Linked DNA regions of Saccharomyces cerevisiae S288C. The gene in region 3 interacts genetically with the main gene of each other region. Each region holds a gene or a part of one and is shown on either strand. Other genes may lie near its edges. The genes, in order: SUP45, GCD11, NAM7 and TIF2.

Region 1 (3,671 bases), on a different chromosome or scaffold from region 3:
CTAATTCCCTAAGAAAAGATGACAATTGGTTAAAAAAGGCTGCTGATGAATTAGGTATTGACGTTGATTCCGACGAAGACGATATATCAAAGAGTAATTCGGACACTTTCTTACTAAAAAATAAAAATAAAAAAATGCAGAAGACTATAAATAAGGACAAGGTAAAAGCCATGAGAGCTACGTTGAACGAATTGTTATCAGTGCCTATACGTAAAGATAGAAGACAGAAATATTTGACAGGTGGGCTAGTGAATTTAGCTGATAACTTGGTCAAAAAAAGAGGTCATAATTCTATCATTGGTCATGAAAAGACAAACGCCTTAGAAACTTTGAAGAAAAAGAAAAAGAGAAATAATTAATCTCGAGGCTTTTGAAGAGAAACTCTCCTTTCACTGTATTTTCTACGTAATATACACGGTCCTCTAAACCCACTATGTACTTTCAACAAAGGAATTAGCTCAATATAGAGCAAAAGGTTTACCAAGTATATATTATATTGTACAAAAAATTAAAAGCGAATTTAATTTAAATCTGGCATCTAGTGATTAAATTCTTTTTGATTCGATTTTTTTCTCCCCCTTTTATTTATTTAAATGAAATCATAGTCGGATCCTTCATCTTCGTCATAATATTCATCCTCAGATTCATCAACTAGTTGTTCAAAATTAACTTTGTAACGCAGCATGGCACCAATACCACCAAAACCTGTGACAAATTGGGCACCTTCTGAAGATTTGTCTGTGATGAATTCCAAGGTAGCACCGAAGTTTTTGTAGTTAGCTGCTAGCCATTCAATTAAAGGTTCTTCGGAGACAACGTCCATTTCTTGGCCGGTAGCTTTGTCAATAGCAAACGACTTGTCCTTGGCTTCTGGTTCAGCGAATTTTATAACCTCATTATCCTCGGCATCTTTAAATGTATATCTGATAGTTTCCAAATTTTCGAAAACAATTAATTTTTCGACTGCACCTAAATCCAATGCCTTTAAAGTATCATCTATACCATAACAGAATTTACCAGTGTCCTGGGAAATTTCGTCAAAATATGCCTCCAATAATTTCTTTTCTTGAACATACTTGACATTGGCCAACGCTTCGGCAGAAAGTTCGATAGCCTGGTTGAAACCGTTTTCACCACCATAAGAAACATCCACGATGGAAATAACCTTACATGCTAGTCTTGGATCGAATAATTCAGATTTAGCCAAATCGGTCTTAAAGTCAGCAGAACCAGCTAAAATTAAACCCTTAACATTGACTTTGTCATTAGTAATAAAATTTTGAACAGCAACTTCGGCGACCTTTCTCACATAATTATGTCTTTTTTCTTCTCTTAAACGAGCAAAACGAAGCGCAGATTGACCACCTCTACCATGCTTTTTTGGCAGATCGACAGTAAATTTATGTAAAACAGTTCTCGTATTACCGGACACAGAACCAAACAAAGTACCTTGACCGTCCATGACTATAAAACCGAACTTGTCGTCAGCTTGAAGCAATTCCGAAAGAACTTCTGTATGAAATTTGTTATCACACAAATATAAGGATGTGTTGATAGGTTTGTAAGGTTCGATGTCAAAAGTGACCTTTTTTTCTTTACCATCTTCAGTGATGATATCACCACAATATAAAACTAAACCGTTCTTGGGCAAAGTATTATATAGCTTCAACTTTTGTTGGGTGGAAGTGATAGCAGATAAAACGGAAAGACGATTAACCCTAGATTTAATATTCGAGGCAGTACCATATTCATCTGTTAACATTTTTTGGTACAGTGGAATTTGACCCTTAGGAGGAATAACTAAGGAAATCATAGAAGTACCATTACCTCTAGCTTTTTCTAAAGATTGGACCAACTTCTTGACCTTCCAGATCTCAATATTTTTTTCAACCTCGTTATCCATTATTGAAGTATTTCCTTTGTCTATTTCTGTAGTCTTAATAAGGAGACAAGCCGAAATGAATTAAGAAATAAAGGTGTCGTTAAGGCCACACCAACAGTATATCAGTTAAAAATACAGTGATGTATTTCATTGATTTGACGCTTAGCACTGGATTTCTGAAAAAATTTTTCATTCAGGGTCAACGGAATAATCCGGGTAATAAAGACGGCGCTATCAAACGGTATTACTGAAAAATGTACAAATGATGAGAGAGCAAGTGACTTAAGTATTCTTCGTACATGCGGTAGCGACAGATTGTAGTTTATGATCTGGTTATAATACCATGTATAAATTGGAAGGATCTAAGCTAAAGTAAATTATGAATTGAATACTGCCCTTCAAAAATTAGATTTTGACAGGATGCTTTTTAACAAGTCTGTTATCCTCTTCATGGAATCACAAATTTAACCAGATATTTGCAGCAGCTATTGGGGGAAATGATGTAGCTAAGGTCTACCTCATACTGCTCATATCCAGCTTTTTACTTACTTTTCGTTTCAAGGCTCCCATACTATCTATAATGAGTAGAAATATCAGATGACTATGTCATTTTGAAGTTGGTTAGAATTTGCTTTTTGGTTTCGACAGCATGTGCACATTCATCATTGACCTTCGCTAAAGGTAGCGCCACCAAAAAGGAGCAATGAATTGAAATAAAGTTCTCAGTCCTCTACTTGTCCAGTTCTTGGCACATTGTAGAGTCTTACGTCAAATGTTCTGTTGGCTCACATACGTGCTCTTCGTATTTTCCATGAATAACTTCAGCTATTTATGTAAATGACGCTCATACTCTTTATAAATCTGAAAATAAATAGCACGCATATACAAAGTGGATCAAGAGGCGTTATATCCAAACATTTCAGACAGAAGATTATATAATGTAACAGAAAAAGTTTTAAAAATTTTGGAATAAAGGAAAAGGTGGTTGGGGAAGAGAATAGAGCTACAGCAAGTAAAAAGGTGCTTTCCTCGAAGTTGCGTCGAAGATGAATGAAAGTAGTTGCTAATTCTTACTAGCACATGAAAAAAAAGGATATATATAATTTTACAAGTAGTGTCTTCATGACGGATTCATAGTCTATCCAAGCGTTTGCCCAAAATTTTGCAGTAAATTTAATGTTTTCTGTATAGGATAATGGTGCGCCATTCAAGTCCCGCGAAAAATGACTGATGTCTACAGGACAGGGGCGCAATATATGTTCTCTGACATTGCACCTTTTGAATATATCATGTGTTTGTTCTGCTATCTGCTTGTAGAAGGGTACGCTAACAGAGCCGGCGGCATTGTAAAAAGTTCTCCTTTCGCGGAAGGATGAGTCAAAAAGCATGTGACAATGAAATAATCAAATTGTGACATCTGCTGACGCGGGATCGTTCCTTCGTATTGTCTAGATTGTAATCTATATAACATACTACGAATATAAAAGAGGGACTACAAGATATTTCTAGCGCAAACTACTGCTTTACTGTCTCACAATGTCTCTGATTGGAAGATACCTAAGAAAATTATTTAACTACATATCTACAAAATCAAAGCATCATGCCTTCGCAAGTCATTCCTGAAAAACAAAAGGCTATTGTCTTTTATGAGACAGATGGAAAATTGGAATATAAAGACGTCACAGTTCCGGAACCTAAGCCTAACGAAATTTTAGTCCACGTTAAATATTCTGGTGTTTGTCATAGTGACTTGCACGCGTGGCACGGTGATTGGCCATTTCAATTGAAA
Region 2 (3,855 bases), on a different chromosome or scaffold from region 3:
AATAAAACCTTTTCAAGGTTATATATACTCAATAGATACTGAATAATTTTGGAGCTTCATTATCTTTGTGCAATTGTCTCCATGTACAAACCACCGATAAGATTTAGTGTAGAGTATGTTGGGTGTAAAAAAAGAAAGGCAGTTTATTGACTACTGGTGTAACTAGACGATAAAGGTTTGAGAGGTTTTCATGGCATCAATGGGAAATAAATGAGTTCGAGAACTATGAGATAAATATTTGCTTAATATTATCGCGTTTAGTAATTTTTTCTTAAAAATACGTAAAACATGTTAAATATACAGTTGAATACTATGTAAGAAGGAAAAAAAAAGAAAGAAAACGTTATAAAAAGAGAATAAAGATCATCAATGTCATTACGCATCAATGTATATGAGCATATTGCAATAACCAGAAGTGTCAGTTTCCCTTCCTCCTAGCCCGTTTCTTATCTTCACTTTCTTTCAGATTAATTATGAAATTTTTGTCTTTGCAGTGGTTTTATTGGTTCCTTAAGCGATGGGTTCCAATGTAGTACCCTTTTTAATGGTTGCCCAACCAATCAAACGCCAATGCTTTTCGATACGTCTCGACAAAGCAATCTTCTCGTTAATTTCAGTACAAGCGGGCGACGTTAACTGTAATCTTGCCATATCAGCTTTAACGGCAACCACACGAGCCCCCGTAGCGGTAGAACCAATGTTGACCATAAGAACTTCATTTGGCTCTAATTTTCTGACTTTGGCTTGCTTTTGACCATCTGTTTTGACACCTAATAGACGACGTAGCAAAAAGTAGTTGATTTCGATATCAGTATAAATGTTTGGCAAATGACCCTTAGCACCGACGACTTGACCGACAAGACGATCAGCTCTACACAAGGTAGGATCAACTTTAGTACCAACACCAATCAGACCACCGGGAACAGCAAACTTCAAGTCATTTTGTTCGGCAAATAAGGAGACAATGTTAGAAAAGATTGGTTTACATTGAATTTTACCCTTATCATCCTTGGTGACAATACCTGGTCTAATCTCAATTTCATCACCTAATTTGAAAACACCATTCAAAATAGAACCACCGGCAACACCACCTTTCAGGTCCTCGATTTCAGCACCTGGCTTATTAACATCAAATGAACGAATAACAATTAACCTTGGAGAAATCATAAAATCTCTTGGTGGTACGGGAATAGTCTTGACAATAAATTCATTAACTGCGTCGATGTTATACTTCAACTGAGCGGATATTGGTACAATAGGAGCACCGTCAGCAATGGTACCTCTGATGAACTTCAAGATGGATTTTTGGTGTTCTAAGGCACTTTCTTCACGCATTAAATCGACCTTATTCTGTAAGATGATGACGTGCTTTAATTTCATGATTTCAATGGCAGCTAAATGCTCTGAGGTTTGAGGTTGTGGACAAGATTCATTACCTGCAATCAACAGTAACGCAGCATCCATAACAGCAGCACCTGATAACATAGTACTCATTAAGATATCGTGACCGGGACAGTCAACAAAAGAAACGTGACGGACCAATTTGTAACGCCCCGGACAACCTGGTCTTTGACATTTAGGACTGATTTCTTTATCAGATTTGAATGATCTATAACAATCAGGTTCGGGACATGTAGGCTCTTGACATTTATAAATTTTAGCATTAGCGTAACCTAACTTAATAGTAATGTTACGTTCTAATTCATCCTTAAAACGGACTGTTTGGACACCTGAAATAGCCCTAACTACTGTGGATTTACCGTGGGCGACATGACCGATGGTACCGATGTTTATTGTAGCTTGCCTGTTGATAATTTCGGCGGATAGTGGGTTTAATTTTGAAAAATCAGGGTTTAATGGTTGTTCGGGCAAACCACCACCTTCTTCAAATTCCCTTTTCCTTTTTTCTTCTTCAGTTTCCCCGTCTTCTTCCAAGCCAGTGAAGGCGACTTTCTTCTTTGGCTTATCAGCATCTTGTGTTTCTTGTGTTTCTTGAGCTACAACTTCCGTTTCTTCAACGATATCTGGTTCACCAACTGGTTCCAAATTACCGTTGATAATAATGCTAGGTTCTTGGTCTTGTAAGTCACTCATGTCTACCTCTAATGCGCGATGTTAACGGTGTATTACGCTCTTTCCGCCCTCTTTGCTTAGCTCCTGGTACAGGTCGAGATGAAATCTCTGTCTTTTGTACTGATGATCAGCATCGGGCTATTCTATGAAAATTTTTTCAATGGCAAATCTGGTCCGGGTTACTGACATGAGAGCAAATAATAAGCATAAATTAAAGCATATTGATATACTTCATATAACAAGTATATATCACATCACGCCAAGCTTACGCATAATGCTAGTAATAAATAGATAAACAAAGAGCGTTCTTATTGATCTAAGGTCGCCACCTTTCTACCCACACGACTGCGGTCAAAATCAATATCGAATCTTGAGTTGATGACGTTACGTTTCTTGGAATTTAGAGATGTAGCTGAAGATGCCGAAGAGGATGTGCCATCAGCATTGCCAGCAACTATTTCAATATCTGTCTCATCATCTGCTTCCAACCCATTACTTGCCACTTCCCGCGGTTGGATCTGTAAAATTTCATGGCCTGTATTTAATTTTTCCTTTTCTGTGGGAACGGAAACTGCGGAACTTGAATGATCATTGTCTGCGCTCATGGTCAAGCCATTGAAGGTTTTCTGCAAATTCTTCATCGATGGTGTTTTAGATATATTCCTACTGTCAATGTGGCCTTCCAAATCGAAAAACCCGCCATACCTGTTCAAATTTACCTGTGATGAAGAAGATGTTTTGCGGGAGCCATTGACTGTATGGCCGTTACGTTTCGGAGGATTATTGACTGCATTGTCCATTTCATACAATTTATCGACCACTGGACTGATCTTCACGCCAGTTTTATTATGAGAAGTGCCGCGTGACATCCTCCAGTAGGAACGAATTTCGCCTAACACCCAACTTAACATAAACATTAACCTGTCACCCTGTCGAAATTGCGATGTCACGGTCAAATCTACTTGATCATCTTTAATGATGTACCCTATTCCAAAGCCATGAGGTACAGCAGGAGTTATACCAAATGTCGTGGTAGCAGCATTACCACAGTTGGCAACAATCAACTCAGGCTGTGAGAAAGGTAAAACAAGTGGATTTTCGAAAAGATCTTTCGCAGCAGATGATTCATCACCACTTAAGTGGATACCAAAATGGTCATGAAATTTGAAGAGATATTTCAATGCATTGAAGTGTTTTTCATAACCTACCCCAGACTTTGCATGTTTAACCATGTTATTATGTGTTTCGCAGGTTTGGATAAATTTGTCTAATTTATCTGTCCCATCAATGGAGCTAGAAATAAACAATTGACATAGTTCCAACAGCGCTTGACTTTGAATGTTAATAAAAGATGATCTCGAGTTTTTGAAACCACGTGTGGATACTGGTTCTAATCCAAACACCATTCTTCCATACAAAGCATAGTGAGCTATTTGTAAAGCTACTTGAACCATCGAATCGGGCTTGACTCCTAATCTTTGAGCTGACCTTCTGCCCAATGGAATAGAAGCGCGAACAATATCATACTTGGAAATCAGATCAGCTAGTTTGGTTTCTGACAAATGGACATGTGTGTTCAGGATGTTACTGAAAGACCAATCGATTTTATTTACAACCAACTTAGGGTCAATTTCAGAAGGGCCTCCGCCGTCGGCACTTATGGTCGCCGTCATCAGTTTTTTAGTTTCAGGATCCATTTGTGTCACGTTAGGCCAGAGTGAAAACTGTGGGTCACCGGCGTTAACGTCTCTAGCTAATCTCAAGACTGATTCTGTATAAATT
Region 3 (5,007 bases):
TACTCTTTTTTTATTTTTTTTTTTTCTTCCACTCAGCTATTAGATTATTTATTATTTTATTATCTGTGGTATCATTTTCTACAGCCATACCTTGATTTTAGTTTATTTTGTTGGCAGTTATATACATTTATCTTATAGAATACATATGCACGTATTAAACAATAAAAAGAACATAAGCAAAAATGAAACCTCGCTACAATAAAACTTTATTACGCATTGCAGTGCGCCGTAAAGAGTATTCATTAGAAGTACAATGGTAGCCCTATTTGGTTGCAACATGTTTTAGCAAAGAGATTAGTAGGCTAGGATATCAAGTCCATGCCCCTTTATCACATACTGTAATGATAGATGCACCTCCGGAAAAGTAAAAAAAGTTTTTCAGGTTACAATTGTGCAAATTGCGAGTCTATCTCGAATAATTTTGCAGCGCTCATTTCACGGTTGAGCCGTTTTGTATCACAAGCCAAGTTTAACATTTTATTTTAACAGGGTTCACCGAATTATATTCCCAAATTGCTGAAGTCTTTTGACAATTCATGCTTTTGTTCTTCTCTCTGTAACTCTCTCGCGAAGTTAGAGTTCAAATGAGAAGCCTCCTCCTGGTACAAATTTCTATCGTCAATTTCATTGCGATTTTGCTTTTGAGAAAAAGCACTTTTAAAATTCTCAAAATTCCAATATTCATTATTGATGTAAGAAGAAAGTTCTGTGTTGTCAACAAATGCATTACCAAAGTCCCCAATTTGACCACTGAATGACACCATACTCTGTGCATCAAAATCCTGGAACTTCGGAAAGTCACCCATTTCAGATTCTACGTTAAATTGAGCGTTCATTGGCCGTTCAGTCTTTCTTGGCTGAGGACGAACTAATTGAACAGTGCATAACTGTAAGTTATCCAACGTACCTTCGACTAAACAACCCTTCTCTCTGAAGTGGATTAACAGATGGTTCCATAATGTGTTTCTTGCCAAAGATCTAGGATTACCAAGAATAACTAGACCATATTTGGCACGGGTTAGACCCACGTTTAGACGACGAGGATCACGTAAGAAACCAATGGCCTGTTGTTCATTGGCACGAACACACGATAAGATTATGTAATCCTTTTCACGACCTTGGAATGCATCAACTGAGGCAACTTCCACTTTGATATACAAATCCTTATCCAATGAACCATTCATTTGCATATATTGTAAAATATAAGCTCTTTGTCCCTCATATGGTGTGATAACACCAATTTGCTCGGGCTTGACACCGTCTCTGAAAAGTTTAGTGATGATTCGTTCACAATTCATGGCTTCAATTCTGTTTAAGAAGGAAGTACCGTTAGCAGAAATCTCCTCTCTACCGTAATTGGCCCAAAACATCATTGGTATACCGCGAATTGGCCATGGGAATTTGCTGTTGGGAACGGTACGCTGTTCAATCGTTACACCATTTTGTAGGCTGCCTTCATAAAACATGTTACTTGGAAACTCACTCAAATAAGGATTCATACGGTATTGAACTTCCAAACGAATCGGTACGTGGCCTAGAGAGATTAATCTTTCAAAGAGAGATTGTTTCAAACCAGCGTCTGCCGCCTTTCGTTCCAATATGACTGGGCCCAGTTGCTGGTGATCACCAACAAGTATAACTTGTTTCGCACCTTTAACGATTGGGATTAAACATTCCGGCTCAGAAGCTTGAGTACTTTCATCAATTAACACAGTCCTAAATTTAGTGTCTAAGCGCTTATCACCAGCACCAACACATGTGCAACATACGACATCTGCCTTATTGAGAATTTCTGCTTCTGTTTTCCTTACTAATTTAACAAACCGTTTTGTATCAGAAGCAGATAATTCGCCAACTTCATCCTTTAACTTTAATAGGTTTTTTAATTCCCCTTTAGCACCACGGCCAACCAAATTATGCAATGCTAAGTTGGAGACGGAACTCTCCACATCTTCTCTACTTTTCGCGGTAAGTCTAACAACTTTTAAACCCAAGTCACGTAATTTGGCAGCCAAATGATCTACAGCAACGTTTGATGGGGCACACACCAATATTCTATCCTTGTGTATTTTGGAAAGGTGATACACAATCGTTGCTGAAGTAACTGTTTTACCAGTGCCTGGTGGGCCTTGAATTAAAGATAACGGACGTTGTAATACATGACTAACAGCGTTCGACTGGGATGAGTTTAATTGTGCAAAATTCGGAATTGAAAACTCCTTAGGTAATGGGACATCAAATGAAATGTCAACCACTTGATGGCCTAAAATTTTATAGTACAAATAACCTGAAATAGATTTTTTATCAATGGCAAATTTTTTCAATGCGTCTTGCATCCTGTCATAAGAGGTACCTTTCCAGATGAACTCAGCAGTAAAACCAGTGGTCAAATGTGTTGGAGGTGGCGTTTTACTTGGTTTTAACTCTAATGTGAATGTGTCCTGGAAGCTATTTGGTAACCGAACAATGTAACCACGACCTTCCCAATCAGGATGTTGCATGCCAGAGTACCATAGTATCATTTCATCACCGATGGCAACTTTCAACTCGTTAGATTCGAAAGTAGATAAAGTGAAAGATGCTAAATGCCTATTATTTAAAGCTAAGGACCATGAAACAGAAATATGTTCTAAAGCTTGAGATTCCTTGAGTTGTTTATCATAGTCGGCCTCCAATTTGATTAAAGGCCCGTAAGATCTTTGGTATTCGTAGGCGTCTTGATATCTCAATAGTAAAGGTGGGATTGCTTCCTGTTCCTCTGGGGCGTCAATATCATTAATTGTAGCGTCTTTATTGGATCTCCATTTTGCCTCCAACTTGGAAATTTGGCTAGGAGTGATTAAACGAGCTTTCAATTTTTCTTCTTCAGTTGGTTGCTCTGCGACCCATGATAAAAGTTGTCTGTCTTCAATTAATGGTTGCCATTGATCAGTATCCCAGTTCGCATTTTTCGTCTGGGCACAAGGTATTCTACAAAGTAAAACAACCACGGCCTCACTTTTAGCGGAAACAAATCCCAATAAAAACACGTTCTTACGTCCACAGTTATAACATTCCAAAACGGTATCCCCTAAGTCAGAATCTGGATGTAAAGAAACTACGTTATGGTGGGATAAAACTAAGTGATTAACAATGTGGGAGCTGCTTGTACCGTTTTTAGTGTTACAAAACCATTTCTTACATGAATTACATTTGATGACACACTTTGCAGAATCTATACCACAATACGCACATGAATTGTCTGAAGCTGAAGGCGAACGGAATCCAGTCTCAGTGACTTGAGCCTCTTCAAATAGCTGATTATCTACATCGTCATCCTCCACCAAGGTGGAATTTAGTTGTGTTGCGGGTTGGACATTTACATCAGATGGAGAGTTTGATATATCATAAGGAGTGTGAGAACCGGAACCGACCATTTGATAATGACAATGATTGATGTAATATAAAAAGTATATTCGGTCTTGCTGCCCTTCCTTCTTTCCTGATGAAATCTTCAACGTTTGTTGGCTGACAAGAGAAATAGAGTCTTCTGTTAGTGTGCGTTAAAACGATGCCTCTTTTCGCTTTTTTTTTCTCCTTCACAATAGCATCGTAAGTTTCTGGTAAGCTTTTCATTTGATCAGTTAGTACGAAAGCGTATAAAGGTGTCCCTCCCAAATCAAGTAAGCAAAGGGAAACTGATGATACTAAAATAATGTAAATTAAGATTAAACTAAAGTTAAAAGTAAAAGCATTCACTCGTTTAATATTATTGAGTGGATAGTAACTAACTATGTATATTTTCTTTTTGTTTTTCTTATTTCCCGTTCATGAATTCATTAAAAGTTAGGCGAATTACGGAGTTCGCCAGATGCATATGTTTCGTTTTCAATTGGAGAATGAACTCGCTAGTGACAATTTTATGAATGATTTTCTCCTGGGATTCCTTTCCTCCAGGCAATTAGAAGTGTGAGGACTAGATTCTTCGTTAGAAGAAGCCACACTAGTATTCAATGAACTATTGGAAGGAGATTTCACCAAAGAGTTGGAATACGAGTTGTTTCTAGTCTGCAAGGGAGAGGAAGAGGAACCATTGGAAAGAAGCGAAAAGGATTCTCTTCTTAGATTTGATGGCGTTCGTTCTCTGTGATAGTGGTTAAGGTTTCCACTGTGACCTGGGACGTTATTTGATGATATTTTCCCATGGGAAATCAATTTTAGTCGATTATTCTTTTCGTTGGAGAGATAAGACGACGGATATGCAGCCGAACTTGAATTCAGATTCAAATACGAGTTGGAATTCGAGGCGGGTGTTGAAACAGATGTTAATGGGGAAGTGAGATCATTTGACTGGTCGTTAGCTACTGCTAGAGAGTCTAGCTCGGATGAAACGTATTTTTCAAGGCCGTATAGATGTGTTGGTATACCGTAACAGGAAGAATGCCTGGATCTTGGCTTTATGCATTTGTGGTCAAAACAGGAATCCGCCGCGTCGCCCAAGGAAGACTGTCTTGTGGATTGTCTGGACAACTGGTGAATGAGGGTGCTACTATTTGCTCTTATTCTTCTTGGAGAAGGGCGAATTGGTTCATTGGAATTGTTCGTTGAATTTGCTGGGACGAAGCCATACAAGTGATGCGGAGCTGTCTTGATTTTTCTCAAATGGTGGCCAATAGTATGATTGCCTATGTGTCTGCTTGTATTACCGGCATTGGTACTGCTGCTGTGGTGAGAATTATTTGATTTCGAGGAATTTTGAAAACTAAAGGACGCTAATTTGGAATTTACAAAATCATTCAAATCATTTGAACCTAAAAAACTTTGTACGTCTGTTTCATCTTCATAATCACAATCTTGACAAAATGGATCTTGTACACCTCTTTCAAAAATTTCTGAAGCAATCATCAAAATACAGCGACTATTTCTATTCTTTGATGTTTTTTATTCCACTGAGGAGATAATTATTCAAACTGAAATATTTTACGCAAACCTTTCTATTTATGTGTATTACCTTTAATCTAAGTGGTT
Region 4 (3,553 bases), on a different chromosome or scaffold from region 3:
AATATTTAATCTATATATAACTTACGTACATGCAACAACTACAATAACAAAAGAACAATAAAAAAAGAACATATATCAAGAGGCAAAGACGGAAAATAAGGCACTGATGTGCCAATCTAGGTAGATTTTTCGTTATCCTTGAAATAGCACTGTTCGAAAACAAAATCGCATTGATTCGTCACCGCGCGGTAGCCGTTAAGGGTTTTGTTTACACTTACTATGACATATAAAGATGAGGGGAGTAGATCAAGGATAGCGCATCCACCTCCAAAAGCATTTTTTTACTTATACATCGTGTCATTTTTTTGAATATCTATCAGAAGTAAGGTTTGTTACGGAGCTATGGCCAAGAAAGTTGCCATCTGTACATTGCTGTATTCACGGGACTATTTACCTGGCGCATTGACTTTAGCGTACCAATTACAAAAACTCTTGAAACACGCTGTAGTGGAAGATGAGATAACCTTATGCCTGCTAATTGAAAAAAAATTGTTTGGAGATGAGTTTAAACCTCAGGAAATAGCTTTAATTAGAAGTCTTTTTAAAGAGATTATCATTATTGAACCGCTAAAGGATCAAGAGAAGAGCATAGAGAAGAATAAGGCAAATCTTGAACTGTTGAAAAGGCCTGAGCTATCTCATACTTTACTCAAGGCTAGACTGTGGGAACTGGTGCAGTTCGATCAGGTTTTATTTTTAGATGCTGATACTTTACCATTAAATAAAGAATTTTTTGAAATCCTACGATTATACCCTGAACAAACAAGATTCCAGATTGCTGCGGTTCCAGACATCGGATGGCCTGACATGTTCAACACCGGTGTACTACTACTAATTCCTGATTTAGATATGGCAACAAGTTTACAAGATTTTTTGATTAAAACTGTATCGATTGATGGTGCTGATCAAGGAATCTTCAATCAATTTTTTAATCCTATTTGCAACTACAGCAAAGAGGTTTTGCATAAGGTGTCTCCACTCATGGAATGGATACGCCTCCCCTTCACCTACAACGTAACCATGCCCAACTACGGATACCAGTCTTCACCAGCCATGAATTTTTTCCAACAACACATCAGACTTATTCACTTCATTGGAACGTTTAAGCCATGGTCCCGTAATACAACTGACTATGACGACCACTATTACCAGCTGTGGAGAAGTACACAGCGTGAACTTTATAGTGAATGCCACTTAAGTAACTACTTCACACACTTGCAATTGGGCAATATTGAAACAGAGACAAATTTTTACCACGAACCTCCTTGTCTTCAAGACCTGTTGAATCATGGTAAAAGAGAAAATCAAAAGCACGTTGACCTGGATATAACCTCAGTAGATCGAAATGCTTCGCAGAAGAGTACTGCAGAGAAACATGATATTGAGAAACCGACATCTAAGCCGCAATCTGCTTTTAAATTTGATTGGGAGTCTACGGATTATTTAGACCGCGTCCAAAGAGCATTCCCAAAGCCTGATACCTGATGCCATCCCTCTACCTCTTAGCTATCAATCATTCAACTAAACTACTACATAGTATACATTAGCTGTACAGTCGTCACATCAGACGAATACAAAAGGCCGGGTGAAAGCGTTGATTTTGCGTACCTTTTTCTTTTTTTCGAAATTTTTTTATTTTTTTTTCAGCATCATATATAAAAGAAATCTCATCTCAAGGAGAAGGAAACAGCAGATCCCAATACACATAGTAGGAAAAAAAAAGGTTCGCTAAACAAAGGACTGGTGTGTACAAGAAACTAATAAATAGTAATTGCAATATGTCTGAAGGTATTACTGATATTGAAGAATCCCAAATTCAAACCAACTATGACAAGGTCGTCTACAAGTTCGATGATATGGAATTGGACGAAAACTTGTTAAGAGGTGTTTTCGGTTACGGTTTCGAAGAACCATCTGCCATTCAACAACGTGCCATCATGCCTATTATTGAAGGTCACGATGTCTTGGCTCAAGCTCAATCTGGTACTGGTAAGACCGGTACTTTCTCCATTGCTGCTTTGCAAAGAATTGACACCTCTGTCAAGGCTCCTCAAGCTTTGATGTTGGCTCCAACTAGAGAATTGGCTTTGCAAATCCAAAAGGTTGTCATGGCTTTGGCTTTCCACATGGACATCAAGGTCCACGCTTGTATCGGTGGTACTTCCTTTGTTGAAGACGCTGAAGGTTTGAGAGATGCTCAAATCGTCGTTGGTACTCCAGGTCGTGTTTTTGACAACATCCAAAGACGTAGATTCAGAACTGACAAGATCAAGATGTTCATCTTAGATGAAGCTGATGAAATGTTGTCTTCTGGTTTCAAGGAACAAATCTACCAAATTTTCACCTTACTTCCACCAACCACTCAAGTTGTTCTATTGTCCGCCACCATGCCAAATGACGTCTTGGAAGTTACCACCAAATTTATGAGAAACCCAGTTAGAATTTTGGTTAAGAAGGATGAATTGACTTTGGAAGGTATCAAACAATTCTACGTTAATGTTGAAGAAGAAGAATACAAATACGAGTGTTTGACCGATTTATACGACTCTATCTCCGTTACTCAAGCTGTCATCTTCTGTAACACCAGAAGAAAGGTCGAAGAATTGACCACTAAGTTAAGAAACGACAAATTTACCGTTTCTGCCATCTATTCTGATTTACCACAACAAGAAAGAGACACCATCATGAAGGAATTCAGAAGTGGTTCTTCCAGAATTTTGATCTCCACTGATTTGTTGGCTAGAGGTATCGATGTCCAACAAGTTTCTTTGGTTATTAACTACGACTTACCAGCTAACAAAGAAAACTATATTCACAGAATCGGTAGAGGTGGTCGTTTCGGTAGAAAGGGTGTTGCCATCAACTTTGTTACTAACGAAGACGTTGGCGCTATGAGAGAACTAGAAAAGTTCTACTCCACTCAAATTGAAGAATTGCCATCCGACATTGCTACCTTGTTGAACTAATCTCTAAGGAGAAGAAATCCATAACTATATTACCTTTATCTTATCTTGACCCCCTATATGATATTATTTTGCCCATATTTGTTTTTATTATTGATTATCCTTTTATTGTCTTTTTGTTAGGGATATTTCATAATAAATATTTGAATATATAATATGTACAATAATTAAATAATTTTCTGATTATTCCTTCAATATTTTGTGTTGAAAATTTGCTTTAAATGTATTCTTTAATTAAATTCTTTATTCGCTATACCTGCCACATAACCACTTTCCCCTTCATTTTCTTCTTTTCTTTGTGTGTGAAGAGTAACTAGCTGTTTTACTGGTCGCTTTGGAAATTTTCTATACATTTTTTTAATAAAGGAAAGTTAAAGACAAAGTACTACGCCTCTTTATTTTTCATCTGCAGAAATAATCTGTCACTGCTTATTCATATCATCTCCAAATCTAATGCTTGGAAGTCGCTATCAAAATTAAAGAAGTTTATCATCAGAAATTGTTAAAATGGCAAAAGGAGGCTCGCTATACATCGTTGGCATATTCTTACCAATATGGACCTTTATGATCTATATTTTTGGCAAAGAGTT

What was found.
Region 1: of NAM7 (region 3) and SUP45, a mutation in one rescues a mutant of the other (synthetic rescue), as found in Saccharomyces cerevisiae (3 studies listed by BioGRID, with this or other methods).
Region 2: mutations in NAM7 (region 3) and GCD11 together harm fitness less than expected from each alone (positive genetic interaction), as found in Saccharomyces cerevisiae (2 studies listed by BioGRID).
Region 4: mutations in NAM7 (region 3) and TIF2 together harm fitness more than expected from each alone (negative genetic interaction), as found in Saccharomyces cerevisiae (2 studies listed by BioGRID).

Annotation. Positions count from the first base shown.
Region 1 is NC_001134.8:530,280-533,950, forward strand, and holds SUP45 (translation termination factor eRF1), read right to left. Parts: upstream 1,904-3,671; coding exon 590-1,903; downstream 1-589. Other genes in the region: MAK5 (ATP-dependent RNA helicase), read left to right, coding at 1-359; YBR144C (uncharacterized protein), read right to left, coding at 2,956-3,270; alcohol dehydrogenase ADH5, read left to right, coding at 3,483-3,671. UniProt on the Saccharomyces cerevisiae protein: Component of the eRF1-eRF3-GTP ternary complex, a ternary complex that mediates translation termination in response to the termination codons. The eRF1-eRF3-GTP complex binds to a stop codon in the ribosomal A-site.
Region 2 is NC_001137.3:203,490-207,344, reverse strand, and holds GCD11 (translation initiation factor eIF2 subunit gamma), read right to left. Parts: upstream 2,095-3,855; coding exon 511-2,094; downstream 1-510. Other genes in the region: carnitine O-acetyltransferase YAT2, read right to left, coding at 2,382-3,855. UniProt on the Saccharomyces cerevisiae protein: As a subunit of eukaryotic initiation factor 2 eIF2, involved in the early steps of protein synthesis.
Region 3 is NC_001145.3:426,212-431,218, forward strand, and holds NAM7 (ATP-dependent RNA helicase NAM7), read right to left. Parts: upstream 3,417-5,007; coding exon 501-3,416; downstream 1-500. Other genes in the region: ISF1 (Isf1p), read right to left, coding at 3,868-4,884. UniProt on the Saccharomyces cerevisiae protein: RNA-dependent helicase required for nonsense-mediated decay (NMD) of aberrant mRNAs containing premature stop codons and modulates the expression level of normal mRNAs. Also capable of unwinding double-stranded DNA and translocating on single-stranded DNA.
Region 4 is NC_001142.9:152,917-156,469, reverse strand, and holds TIF2 (translation initiation factor eIF4A), read left to right. Parts: upstream 1-1,778; coding exon 1,779-2,966; downstream 2,967-3,553. Other genes in the region: YJL136W-A (uncharacterized protein), read right to left, coding at 218-301; glycogenin glucosyltransferase GLG2, read left to right, coding at 343-1,485; mannosyltransferase YUR1, read left to right, coding at 3,471-3,553.